Linked DNA regions of Styela clava. The protein of the gene in region 2 purifies or fractionates together with the protein of the main gene of each other region. This does not show direct contact. Links are inferred from orthologs where the notes say so. Each region holds a gene or a part of one and is shown on either strand. Other genes may lie near its edges.

The links. The genes of interacting proteins can lie anywhere in the genome.
Region 1: the proteins of dynamin-1-like protein (region 2) and intracellular hyaluronan-binding protein 4-like purify together in Homo sapiens (affinity purification with mass spectrometry; 3 studies listed by BioGRID and IntAct, with this or other methods). This does not show direct contact. The link is inferred for Styela clava from reciprocal best matches to the Homo sapiens genes DNM1L and SERBP1.

The regions. Positions count from the first base shown.
Region 1 is NC_135258.1:5,591,050-5,598,003, reverse strand, and holds the start of intracellular hyaluronan-binding protein 4-like, read right to left. Parts: upstream 3,089-6,954; 5' UTR 2,960-3,088; coding exon 1,691-2,959; 3' UTR 1-1,690. UniProt on the Homo sapiens protein: Ribosome-binding protein that promotes ribosome hibernation, a process during which ribosomes are stabilized in an inactive state and preserved from proteasomal degradation.
Region 2 is NC_135258.1:11,927,139-11,934,520, forward strand, and holds the start of dynamin-1-like protein, read right to left. Parts: upstream 3,031-7,382; 5' UTR 2,859-3,030; coding exon 2,757-2,858; intron 1,713-2,756; coding exon 1,556-1,712; intron 1,483-1,555; coding exon 1,211-1,482; intron 585-1,210; coding exon 447-584; intron 169-446; coding exon 36-168; intron 1-35. UniProt on the Homo sapiens protein: Functions in mitochondrial and peroxisomal division.

The DNA of each region.
Region 1 (6,954 bases), about 6.3 Mb from region 2:
CAGATACAGCCAGAAGAAAACAATGCAAAACACAGCAAACGCAAGCGAAGCCATACATTACATTGAGTTTGTACTTTAAAAGATGAAAATCTAACATTTCGCCAATTTTTCTTTAAAACAACGTAAAACAATGAACATATTTGATGATAATTTGAGTTCTTAACAAACGTAAACAGAAAAGGGTTAGGGATGTTGTATCATTGGTGACAAAACCAAAAAGCAAAGTTACCAACAAATAACTATTCCTCAAAATATTTGAGAACCAGAAAACAGAATTCTTTTCACCCTATTCGCACACAAGGACAGACATTTAGGCATCAATATTTTATTTTGAAGGTTATTCAAATGTTTTATTCATGATTTTGGTGAACTTGGATTTTTTCTGAAGCAAAGTAAATCTGTCATAAAGTGAACCCACAAACCCGCTTCATTTTCAAATAAAATATAAACGACTGTTTATGACAAGCCATGATTACGTACATTCCTTAGTGAAACCAATAAGCTTTGCATACATGGTTTCTTTACTCTCAAGGCGTCTCATTTTGATAATGCCACACAAAATGCCGTCTTACGCAGTGTTGACCATCACACTTGAACCAAAATTTAACAATTTCTTACAGAGGCTTCTTATGTTGCATGTGTTATGGCATCCGAATGGTGCCACACAAGATGCTGCATTTTGCCCATCACTTTCAAAGTTATTTGAAGAGGAATTTTACATAATTTTTTTCAGAGGCTAACACATTAGCATACAAACAAGGTGCAGCAAGTCATTCAATTTTATATCGCAAACTAGCAACTGAAACGAAAAGTATTCATTTCGAAAATTTCGGATTGTAATTTCTGATATGTGTAAAAAAAAATTTGACGCAAGCAGACAACATATTCATCAAAAAAGTACAAAGGTAGCGTAAAATGGAGATACTTTATTCCACTACAGTCAACTAAAATGAGCAAATATTATATCAAAAAGTGGGAAAACAAAAGCAATTCTCATTGTCATGTGACAGATAAAGCAAAAGCCTTCAAACAAATTGTATAGAATTCTGAAACCAGGGGTTCCAGCTGAACTCATACAGCGGTTTGCCCACAATCGTGTTCGGAGGTTTTACCCATATGCTGCACAGTGGTCTTACTTGCATCATGTGCCAGTCGTCCGGCACACACATTAACAACTTTATGCTAGCACAGAAAGGGTAATTTCAGAATTATTCAAGTTAAATTATTGAATTTTTAACTCCAAGATGTTTCAAATCCAATAAATGATATTGGGAGAGACAAATTCAGGTTTGAATTATTACTCTAACTTACATTTCTGCCAAACAACAAAAGGAGCAAACATGATATTGACTTTGTGAATTTCAGAAAAAAAACAATAGGAATCACTTTTGTTGTTCCCACTTTATAATTAAACATTCGCAAATGAAATTTAATGGAATAAAAAGCTAAACTCAGCATGCAATTTTTTGAACTATGACGTCACTATTTTTTTTCGAGTAAAATTTTGAATTTTGCCATAAAACGTAACAAATAAACCACATAAAAAAATTGTCCTTAAACGGCGTTCTTGCGTTTACCGATGATCAAGTTTATTTTGAAATAGAAGCCCCGTTTAATATTAAAACGATGTTCAACAGTTCATTCTCACACACATAATATTCACAGATTTGAAAGGTCTTGACGATGACCTTTAACCCAAGGTCGGGAACTCTTGTTCGTTTTGAACATCAGGAAGTAGTTGATGACCTTGCCTCTGCATTCGTTCCCCTCCAAAACGACCGCCACGCCCACGTCCACGCCCTCCTCCTCTACCTCCGCGTCCTCGACCTCCAAACCCTTGATTTCTGTTGTCTCCGAATTGGATATTAACGCTTACTTGTGGTTTGGTTTGTCGTTTATGCTGGTCATCAGGATTGGTTTCTCGTTTCGAATCGTCTTTGTTGACTTTGCGCAACACTTTCATGCCTTTCCATTTTTCTTGGCTCTCTCCTTCTCCGGGTCTTCGAATATTAAAGGATGGTTTTGCTTGAGTGCCTTGTTCCTGTTGGGCTTTCCATTCATCGAGTGTCATTTCCGTTGGTTCTTCTTCTTTCGGTTCTTTATCTTCTGCGCCTTCCTCGGTTGTTCCCTCCTCTTCAGTCTTTTTTGGTGATTCAGTTCCTTCAGTTTCAGCATTTTCTTGCCATGTTCCGACTGGTTCAGTTACAGCGGTAACTTCCACAGTTTCCTCGATTTCGTTTCCAGGGGTTCCCCAATTTCGTGGGCCAGCGCCGTCACGCTTATCGCTTGGTTTCACACTTGATCGATCACTTCCGCTACGTCGGTCGAATTCACGTTTTCCGCGATCATCACGTCCGTCATTTCGATATCCACCAAAGTTCCTGCCTTGATATCCACCACGACCTCCATTTCCACCACGACCTCCGCGGTACCTTTCCGCACGATCTCTTCTTGGGCCATAATCTCCAGTGCCAGGGTTTCTCAACTTCTCCCCTTTAGCTTGATCAAAGCCTTCTGTTTTTTGATTTTCATTGTTTTCTCTGTTCTCCCGTGGATGATCATTTCTTCTTCGTGGTGGTCTCCTATTTTCATCACCTTCCCCGTAATTTTGTCTTTCATTACGAGGTCGCCGAGCGCTATTTTGCCTGGGACCATCGCTACGGTCATTTTGACGTCCTGGCTTTGCAGATTTTGGTGCCCCTGCGTCTTTTTTAGGTGGGACATTAGAATCCTTGTTCTCTTGGAATCGCGTTGGCTTTTTTTGGTTTTTTGGCCTGTTTGCCAAAGCCTGCTTTTTCTTTTTAGCTTCCTCTAACGCGCTCTTTTTCTGATCTTCCAGCGTTTTCAAGGTGTCTAACGGATCATAATCCGCCGCCGTGTCGCTTTCATCGTCAGGTTCGGAACCTATATCGTACCGATTACTGACGTTTACACTATAGATATCCTGTATTGCAGGCATTTTAAAGAGGTTTTGCTGACTCTAAATCGCCAATATTCAACAGCTTTTGTACCGAAAATCGAAGAAACGTAAAACGCCGCCTCGTGAAAGAAGTTTCCGCTTCAAAACGTGCTCGGCTCCGAAATTCCTCGTTCCCACTAAAACACGCCCACAAATAGCGTTGCCAGGTAATATTGGCGGTTTATGGCAAGACCAAATTTTAGAAATTGAATTGTATAATAAAAAATTCGGATAATGCATTGGCTCATTTTAATAAACTGAAAATATTGATAACGCTTTTGAATATGCATACAAGTATTTTGATGCAAAAATTATTCGCTAATCAGTTAGAATAGACTGAATAGCAAAGAACAATCGATTGGTATCTCACCGTTTGTTAAAAAAAATGGGAATAAAATAATGTATAAAACTGTTTTTTATTTTAAAATTGCACAGTTGGTGCAATCGTATTTTTTTCATACTCATGTGCAAGATGAATTTTTTGATGACAGACATATTTAAGAATCTATCTTCACGGAAGGTAAACTGATCGGAAAATTTTACCAGAAGAATCTATATTTCAATTTGAGGATATTGAAGATAATGGCAAATTTAAATTCACCTTAACTACGTGAAGAAAAAATTTAATTTTTTGCAAAATTTTGATGATTTAGAAAATTAAAATTATATAATCCACCATGGAAAAACGAATGCCAGAAAAAATGAAAAACAACAAGACCAACTGGGAATGGCAACTTGTTAGAAACTCTTATAAGATAGGTTTTACATATTTGACGATTGCCTATTGCCAGTCACTGTCGGGTATGGGAATGGCAAAAAAATATTTCTTTTTACGAGGAGTTACACAAACCAAGATCAATGAATGTCAAATATCCTGTACCTAAAGATGGAAGAAGTGACTAGAAGGATATCATAGTTTTTCTATCACCCTACGGGCCAAATTTTACAGTTTTTTATAATTCCCGGGCACAAGCTCATGTGATATTCGGCACCGTTCTTACATTTGGCAGCCATATTAGTGATGGACGTTTCCCCGACCTTTGACCCCTGAAAAACTCTCCTTATACTTTACTATTGCAAAATTCCAAACGCTCATTTTAAGAGTGTTTTGGGGGTTAGCGCCTACAAACTGGTCCTTATAAATTTATGCAACTAAACTAAATGTCGTCGGAAGGCATGATAGCAACCATTAAGTTGTTTGATTTACAACTATTTTTGGGGGAACACACGTAAACACTGACAAATAACACGCAAATACACGAAAACGAGGCAATACTTACAACTCTGCCTGAATATCTGTCTGAGCCAAAGAATGGTCTGAGCGGCCGCATAAATTCCTGTTGTTACGATGTTGTTGGCCTATTGCTGATTGGTCATTGTTACGGCAATAAACAGGGAAAACGATGCTCGGGGAAACATTTATTGATATTCGTGACCATATATTTGAACATTGTTCTCTTGTTCGACATGAAGTGGACCAATCCACAAGGTCTAGATCAGGGCTTCCCAAACAAGGGGCCGCGGCCCTGAAAGGGGCTCCGAAACGAATTTTAGGGGCCGCAAAGAGAACACCAATTTTACACGAAATACAATATAAATCTATTGTACTTTTTCAGACTCTTGATTCGAAATACAATTATTGAAAATAGTGTAAAACAAACATTTCACGATTCCGAGTGAATACATCATCATAATACCGTGTTTCCCCCAAAATAAGATACTGTCTTCAATTTTCTTTCGAAAATAACACTAGGGCTTATTTTTGGGATAGAGAATACCGAGATTTTTTATTATACAAAATATGAATACCGATTTTCATTTACTTATAAATAGCACGTCTTTATTCAAAATAACTGCTAAATACAGATTATTAATCATTTAAAAAGTAGAAAATATTTTTTGCTATCGACTAGGACTCAGTGGTTCTCGATCTTCATTGTATTGTGACGCCTTCCAAAATATGCTCAAGTTGCGACTCCTCGTGAAAATACTAGGGATGGCCCGGGATTCGGATCCGGACTCAGATTCGAGTGGAATCCACACATTTTATAGACTCGGATTCGATTTCAAGTCCACGTCATTTTTACCGCAATTCTGTTTTTACTAATTTACGCCTATATTTGTACTTTTGCCTCTATAAATCTCACTACATACCTTAACTAGGTAAAATTCAAGGTTAGATCTGTAACAATATCCCTCGTGTGTATTATAATATAAACACTCCTTATAAAGACCACGACAGATATCCAGATAATATACCGTAGGTTAAAAACTATTGATCGCTGATAATAATAATGTTGCGCCAGTCGCTTTCAAACTATCTATCCTTTTCGGTATACATGTGACACAATAAAATATGTGTTAGCGAAATATTTTTGAGTTTTTGATTCGCGTAAAAATGAAACATGCTCCCGATCAACCCAGTGGGGAATCTCATCAATACCTCTTTTAAATCGAGTTTATTACGTGCAATCCTTTCTCTAAAACGGGAGCGATGGAAAGCGTGGGGAGTTTCAAAACGTTTACATGAACTACTAAATTGCAAGAAGATGTAGAAGACATTGTATTGACGACGAGGCATTTCTCTACCATTTGCGCACGTGACATAGTAAATTTACGGCTAGAAATATCTGGAATTATAGGAAAGCATTGTAGTCAAAAGCTTTTTATTTTTCATATTGACATATAAAAATGTCTGAATAGCCGCCCGGAAATGACACAAGGTGGTGGGCTGGAAATCCAGTTCACAGCCAAGGCGCACAAAAGCCCACGTTTACGTTCGTATTATGGCCGCCAAAAAAGAAAGAAAATATATTTTTAAAATGATTCAACAGCTATCTGCAGAACCATTAGGCAAATGAGCTACGACGTATGTATGTGGGCGCACGATGCTGTAGCTTGGTCAAAAACGTGTTTTTCTGCTTTTACATTGTGACGTCACGGACTCGGAGGATTCGATTCGAGTCTTCAGTCTATTACTCGGATTCGTCGAATCTCTGTAATGGCGGACTCGTCCCATCCCTAGAAAATACGTATTGATACATTTTAATAAAAGACTTTTTTTGCAATGAGTTTTATATGAACGGACAAATAAAACTTAACGACAGTCAGTGAAATCGCATTTAATGCGCCTTGGTAGAAAAGTCTGCTTTATATAAAAACGAAATCGCAAAGCAGGTGGGCGTGCGCATCGCTTTTTGAACCAAGGAAAAATAATTTTTATCTACGGAAAACCGAACTTTCAGAATTAAACTTTTTTATTATAGCACCATCACAGGTAAGATCGATTTAATCTACTTTTTTTCAGTAAAAGTAGAAGATATGGGTTGATTGGAAGGTTCAAGAATCACGAAATTTTGCGACGTCCCAGCAAAATTGAAACGACGCACTTCCACGGGATTAACTAAACAAAAAGATGCGCTATCGACTAAGTCTTTTTTAAAGGCGAGCGCTCATATTATATATAATTCTTTTTAAAATTCAGGCTTGATCTTATCCTCGGGGAAACACGGTAGAATCATCGCGCTTTCATGACAATGCATATTCTGACCGTAAGACCCGATTTGTGTGTGCTTGCATAACAATGACGGCTTTAATCGTTACGTTAGCGGTTTCCGAAGGCGATTTGCTGAGTGCGCCCCGAAACATATCACATATTATAATAATTCTAAATGTTTTATTGTTTCTTATTGTTGCAAATGATGTGTATATGAATCAAATTCATTTTACCGTTCTACGTTGTTTACTTTCTGTTCCGTAGGGTATATTGTTATAAGAGGTAAACCCTACAATACATTCTGCAATTTTGTAGGCTGCGGTTTATTCATTTGCTGAACCGATTTTATTAAACATGAGTAATTTTTTAGCATTTTAAAGAAAAACCCAACAGAGATAAGAAAGAAACGATAACCTTTTGCCTTCATTCCTCAGGCCTACATGTTTACAAACCTCAAAAGACATCAAGTACATATTAACGATGACAAAATTGTTTTTGT
Region 2 (7,382 bases):
CATCTTTAAGCTAAATACTCATGCTTTGCACTTGCCTATAATTCCTAATTTGACAGGGATGACCCTTCCACATAGAACATCAATAGCATCAGTACCAGCATCCATTATATCTAGTTTTGTGACAACTGCAAGAGTTCTTCTTCCTGCTGGATCAACTTCAAGAGCCATCTAGATTCGATAATATCAAAATTGTAATGAGTATACATGGCAAACTAGGTAGAAGTTTCTTATTTCTATACAAGGTTTTTTCACTCTAAACATGGCTCTGTGCCAGCAGATCCTGATATGTGAGTACCGTAGCTACTGTATGACCGAAATTGAAGAGTCCGAGTAAAAATTTCCTTTAATCTGGAGCTGAAGTCGTTTCTTCATATAGGATAAAGATGGATTCGGGTGTAAATTTTCCCATATTTCACATCACTGCTGGTAAATTTGTTGAAACATACCTTTATGGCTTCTGAAGTTGCTATATCCGTGTTTGCTGGAGAAACAGCAAGAATTATTGAATTTGGATTTGAAATGTATTGTAATATCAATTCTCTCACTTGTGCTTCAATGTCTTCAGGTTGGTCACCAACTGGAATCTGATACAGGAAGTAGAGATGATTATGCATTGAATATGTGTATCAAAATTAACTTACGGTATATTACTACCAAACCAAAATTGATTAATGAAATACAAAATTACCAATAAATGTTACTTATTAGGTTTACAATGATTGGTTACGTTGATACAATGTTTAATGATCGAATGGGATTTGCATAATGGAGCTATTTCTTTTACAATCCAATTTTTTCTAGCTTGGCCCATAAATGAACCCTGTCTCCTATAGTTTTCAAAAAATATCAACTTTTGTGGGAACAAATTATGATTTTAAAATTCAATTTTCTGTCTGATTTCAGTGTCAAAAGCATTGAGAGAAAATTTTCAAAATACAATTTCTAAATAGTATAAGCTGCTCCTAAAATTAAGAATTTATCATATTTTTTCATTTGTATTGGATACCAATTTTTGAAACATTTGCATTCGATTAATGAAACTAGAAACTACTAAACTACTAGTATTACTTGAACAACAAATTTGATACATAATTAAATTTTCCTTGTTACTTGATATTTGTATTTAACATCTAAAAATACAGAATCTTTCAGCAAAAAAACAATGTTTTAGAGTTTTTTATGTATCTTTAACAGAAAATAAAAAAAAAACCTTCGTGATTCCCGGGAGATCGACCAGAGTTAAATTCAGAACACGAGGACTGAAAATTTTCAAATTAATTGGATCACTGCAAATAGCTTTATTTGTTCCACCCATCCGTTCAGTTTCGTTTTCGATTTCCGTTCGAATTTCATCAAAGTCTGTATACATTTTGTCTTTTGTATGCAAAAATTTTCCCCACTCTTCATGGCCATGGTTGAACTTTGAAGATGAGCCATTTACATGGTTTTCCAAACCTGGTTTTTCATTTTCTTTATCAGAATCTAAAATTAAAATATGGCTCATTTGGAGGAAGGATTGGTAGAAAACCAGAACCTGATTTACTGTTTTATTTACCTTCTTCTGAATTGTCATCATTTTCTTCCGTTTTATTTTTTCCATTATCTAAGTGCACGAGTTGTAACACGAGAGGTCTTCTTGTAACTATACCAGTTCCTCTTGGTAAAAAATCTCGACCAACCAGATTCTCAAGAACTGAACTCTTTCCACTACTCTGAAATGTGTTACACAATATTGATGATGAATAATTTAATCCATTTTGGGCACTAAGATATATGACACTTTCAAAACAATCATAGATGACATTCTGTTCAAATGGTAAGCTTACAAGTGCGATGCCAATTTTGCATTATTAAAAATGGTGGGTAAACAAATGCTGGGTAAAAGACCCTCAACTTGAGTCTTGAGTCACCCGAGTACCAAGTCTATTCGTCTATTCAATCACTGTATCGAGTCTCAGTGACAGTTGGTTGAGTATGAGATATTTAATTTTGATGACTTGAGTCACTTTGAGGCTTTGATAAAGAGTGACTCAGGTCGAGTCAATTACTTGGGCTTCCCAACAAAGTACTCAGAGATTCAAGAGGACTTTCGAACCATATGCATTATTTTAGTTCGCATATGAATCACTTACCTGCTAACGTTTGGCATGCATTTGGGGTAACGATGGGCAATTATTTTTGCCATGGGGTCACATTGCAAATTCAAAATGTGGTAATGTGCCAGACTAAGTGAAGCCAACCTACATTGCACGCTTCAATGTATTTTATTACACATTCAAATAAAACAAGACATATTACAAATGTTACTTTTAATGAAATGAGTGTATTCTTTGCTGCGTTTTTACAAGTTTTTCAATATGAGGTTCAATGGCAAACGTTTTCACTATATTCAAAATACTGGAAAGCAAAGAGCTGACTAGTTTAACGATATCCCGCTGTGTTAGCACACGACTCACAGATTCAAAGAGCAACTTATCAAGATTATACAAGAAAAATTCATGCTTCAAAAACTCTATTGATCAGTGATCATCTGGAAAAAGAGCTGACCATTTTCACAAAGTTGACTGCAGAAAGCAGCTGGTACACAGGTACATCGTTACTAAATCACTTGGGCAGCAACTTCAGAACTTGCCCAAGCCTGACCTGGGAGGTAGGCTATGACCGGTAAACATGTGAAATGCTATTTTTTGGTCCGGTTATCTAATGACTGAATGAAGTGCAATTCCGACTCGTTCATAAAAAATCATTCAAGTTACCTGGGATCCAACCACAACTATTTGAGGCAATTGTATTGAATCTGAGCCAATGGTGTTAAAAATATCTTGAAGTTTGTTGATAACTGGAATTAACGCTTCCATTCTTCAGTGCTTTACTTCCCGTCAAATTTCTCAAACTGCTAGAGACAAGCTCTTAGACGCACACTATATGTACAGCTATAACAGTATTACACTATTACGTGTATCAGCACTGCATAGCCAAATCTATAAATTCCAACAAAGAGGACCTTCTGTGGTTACAGGTTTAAAAACTATTGTGCTTTTCTGACGTGTGGTGGCGCTAGTAGTTCTTTAGCATACGGGCGAGATTTCAGCACTTGTCGGAGTTTTGCTTGCTGGCCGATTTTATACAAGAAAATGTTAAATTGGTAAAAGAAGGCCAAAATTCAAATAGTATTTTTTATATTCTTCGTCAGTTATAAAAGAGAATGAAATAATATTGGCAATGAAAAAAGAAAAATTCACAAACATAGTAAAAATGGAGAATACTTCGTGTTTAACCCTCTCCGGGCCCCTTTATCTTTTGGCAGTGGGAAAAATCTGATATTTGGTGAAAGCAATACTTTTAGGTCATATATGATGAATTATTAAAAATTTTCGACACTCCGATTTCCTGGGGTGATTTACCGGATGTTGCACTAGTGAAACTTCTGCCCAGAAAGGACTAATTCTAAATGATCACATGTATGTTGTTCAATCTGCAATACTTTATAACATGACCGGTTTGTATATTGATGGGATTGTCAAACTTGTTTCATGGCTCAATTTAAAACTTCAATTATGATTAAGAGGCGCAATAAAATGTAAACAAATGTTAATATAGATCATGTTTTTGCACTCTTGGTATTTTCTCAAGTCAAAATATTTAGAAAATGCATATGAGTTGTACAATGACACTTTCGTTTACCCATTTCTTTAAATCTATTTGGAAACTTTGAATTCCCATATATATTAAAATGCAAGAATATAGAAAATCTATCTTTTACATCAAAATAACTTTGCATTTACTTGCCGTTATGCATTTTATCGGAGAAAGAATTTTTAGCGTGGAAGTCATTTTGACTACGCTACGCTGAGAAAAATTAACCAAACCAAATTTTTTGGTAGCAGGAAAATCGTTGGCCATTTTTTGTGTTTTAATTTGCAGTTTTACGATTTCGATATTTTATGAACTGTATATCTTCTCTTTTTACTTTAGACTCTCGTTTAAATTTATCGACTGATCCTGCCCCCACTCTGAAAGACGCTATAAAAACACGGTCAACCGTAGTTTTCTGCAGCATTTGTGTTCGGACCAATTCCATTTTTGTGTATACATTTATTGTGTTACTCAGCAATTAGTATATATTAGTTTATGGGGTTGTCAAAAATTCGGAGCAGAGAAAAACTGTGCTCTCCCGAACGTTGAATTAGCTTTTATGTTTATCGGGGGGAACGGCGAAGCACTCGGACTTTCAAAACACGACTAAGTTTTAACTCTAGATTCGTTTTTAGATAACTATTGTCTGTCCATATAAATTCCAACAGTCAAAATGCTGGAATGGTCTGATTTTTTAGGCTCAAAATCTTAGCTACATAAATATCGTTCTAGAAGTTAGGTGTTTTATCAAGATCAGTCGCAGGTTTAAAACATTTCGATGACGATGAACTAACTGTTCAATATTTCAGTGTGTAATTACACAACAATGACGTAATGATTACGCTAACAAAAACTGGACTTGAGGTAATAAAACATACCACATTTAAATAAAAAGGTAAGGTAAAGCCAAGGTAAGTGAATCGGTACCTTTTCAATCTTTTTCAAGTATGCAAAAAGTACAATTACCACATCTTTATAAAATTTCGCGAGGGTAATAAAGCTGGACACCGAATAAACATACAAAAGCAGTTAACATTCAGAATACATTTCTGTAATTTTGGTCAGACTACGTCTTGTTCGTTGGGCAGCTTGGCAAAATTCAGTTTGTTCAGATAATTTTCCTCACTTTCTGTTTTTTGAAAAGCTGTCTGACGTTAAGATGGGATGGCGCATGATTGGCATAGAGCAGTGGTCGGCAAACATTATGTACCTGCGGGGCAAATATACACATTTGCGGTAGCGTGTGGGCCGCATTAATTTCCGCCTGCGAACAATCGCAAATAGCTGCAAATTCCGCAAAATTGTATTAAAAAAAATTGAAAATTTTTTTTTTCAAAGATGGTGGTCATGGTTCCTCAGAAAATATCGACGGGCAAGTGTGGCACAAGAAAGGAAACAACATTTTATAACAAAGTCTTTCCATGTGGATGGAAATAGCAAAATTTTGGGCGAAATACCTGATTTGGTAGCCTACTGAAGTTCCGAAATTTATCAGAATATTATTTGCATAGAAAACGATTTTTTTTCACTACAACATCAATATGAAGAATTTAGCGCAACGAGTCATAAGTCCACTCAATGACATTAAACAACATGATAGGCAACTCTGACGTCACTCCATAAGACTACAGGCAAAACATTGTATTTCATGATACGCTCCAATGCACATATTTCTCGTCGCCTTTCGCGTCCGTTTTCTCGCTCGCTTTTGCTACTCGGCGTCGTTTTTACGTGTAGTACCTGCCTTTTTGCGCCTGTAACGAAACAAAATAATCTCTATATCTAAGAAGTTTTGCTTACTTGGAAAGCTGGAGTAACAGGCAAGCTGTAAAGAGCAATTCTGGACATCATAGACGTTTTTTTATCAGAGAAGATTACAAACGCGATAGCGGAAAGATTTGTGTGGAACATTTTGCAGATAATGACAAAGTTCAAAGTTGGTAATTTTAATGTTTGCGCTTAATCATTGAAATTTCATTTAAAGAGGGTGTCATACAAAACTGTGCTGCGATACAATTCCATAACACAAAGTTTGCACCTATCGAACTTGCTTTTGTAGGTGAATTTATTAGACATATTACATATTCAGTTAATCGTAGGTAACATTGCTGGTACATAATGCATCGTAGATAGGTTTGTTTAAATTTAGGAATTTAGCTCATAGCCCACTAATTAATATTATCTTCTATGCAGGAGGTTGCAGGGCTGAATTCAACTTGCAGCCTTACCGATCACCTGACGATGCTCATTTAGTTTGGCTCGAGCAAGTCTTCTTGAAATGCTTGTGTGGATGGAAACTACCTATATTTTTTGCCTTCCTCCGATTTTAGACAAATTTACTCTGAGGGATTTCGCATATAATTCTCACTGATTGTTGGCTGTTTATAATTTCTATTGATTGTGAATTCTGATTATAACAATGAGTTGAAAATTTTTTTACCTAATTTACTGGCACCTTTTTCTTGTCAATACTCCAAGCTGAGGTAATAAACATGACAATACATTTATGTCATCTGGAAGCAAAATATGCACACTAATTAATAGTTTGGCACATTGAGATAATACATCATGACAGAAAATACAAGTTAAAGATATGTATGACCATCACATGGTAATTAAAATTAAAAAAAAATTAATAGGGGCTGCGGAGTATGGAAAGTTCAAGACGAAGAAAAGAACAAATGTTCATAGCTCATGAACTCTCAATTTTGCCTCCATTGCTTTGTGAAGGCCAATATATTTCGAGTGGCTGAATTGGTTTACCTTTACGATAGCAACGATTTTGTATTTTATATAGCGAGATTATTTCAATTTAATTGAAGTGATATAATTTCCCAAAGCAATGCTTGAATCGTCTAGAATAGATCAGTGGTGTCAAACTCATGGGTTTTCGAGAGCCGCATTGCATTTTGAAAATTGTAAAAAGAGCCGCAAACAGTTTTTGATAATGTATACTTAAAAGATATTTTTAAGATAGTTTTAGTTTGTGACATATATTGTGATGCAACTAAACAGTTATATTAAGTTTTATTATTTTCTTCAATTTCAAATGCAATTACATATTAATCTTTGCATTCCACTATTATTGCAACATTTGCAAGTTACAGTATTTATTATAAAAAATCGTAAAATTCTATGTACAACCATCAAAATCATTTTTGAACAAGCTTTGAATAGGGAAAGAATAATACATACACTAAAAATAACTTAATTTAAATATATGAACCTAAAATTAACAAAAATACTACAGTATAAACTCAATGTTTTAATAATTACATTTGTCCTGGCGTTTGGCATCTTTTTTGTGTCACCAGCATACTAAGGCCAGTCTGAAATGATTTTATAGTACCAACTCTAACTAACGAGGCCACATGATCATGGCTTTATCTGGATCTTTACGAATGTTCAATTAATTCCAGTAATGCAGAAAAGTTACTTTTATCATTTCATGTATAGATCAGTAAAAAAACAAATGACAGATTTTTTCGACAAGACATTTCGCACTACATTGCGTGGCATAGGATTGCTTGAATTATTATTGATATTGATTTTTAGTAACTAAGTCGTTGTATAATTATATTAATATACAAACACATGGAAATTTTCTGTTCGAAGTTGGTCTTCGAATTTGTCATATTGACTGCTGAGCTTATTGTGTTTTTTGATTGTATTGACGGAAATATGACAAATTAAACAATGTGCTTCAGAATTTTGTGAAGAGCGGAAATGTTACAACTCCCATTTTC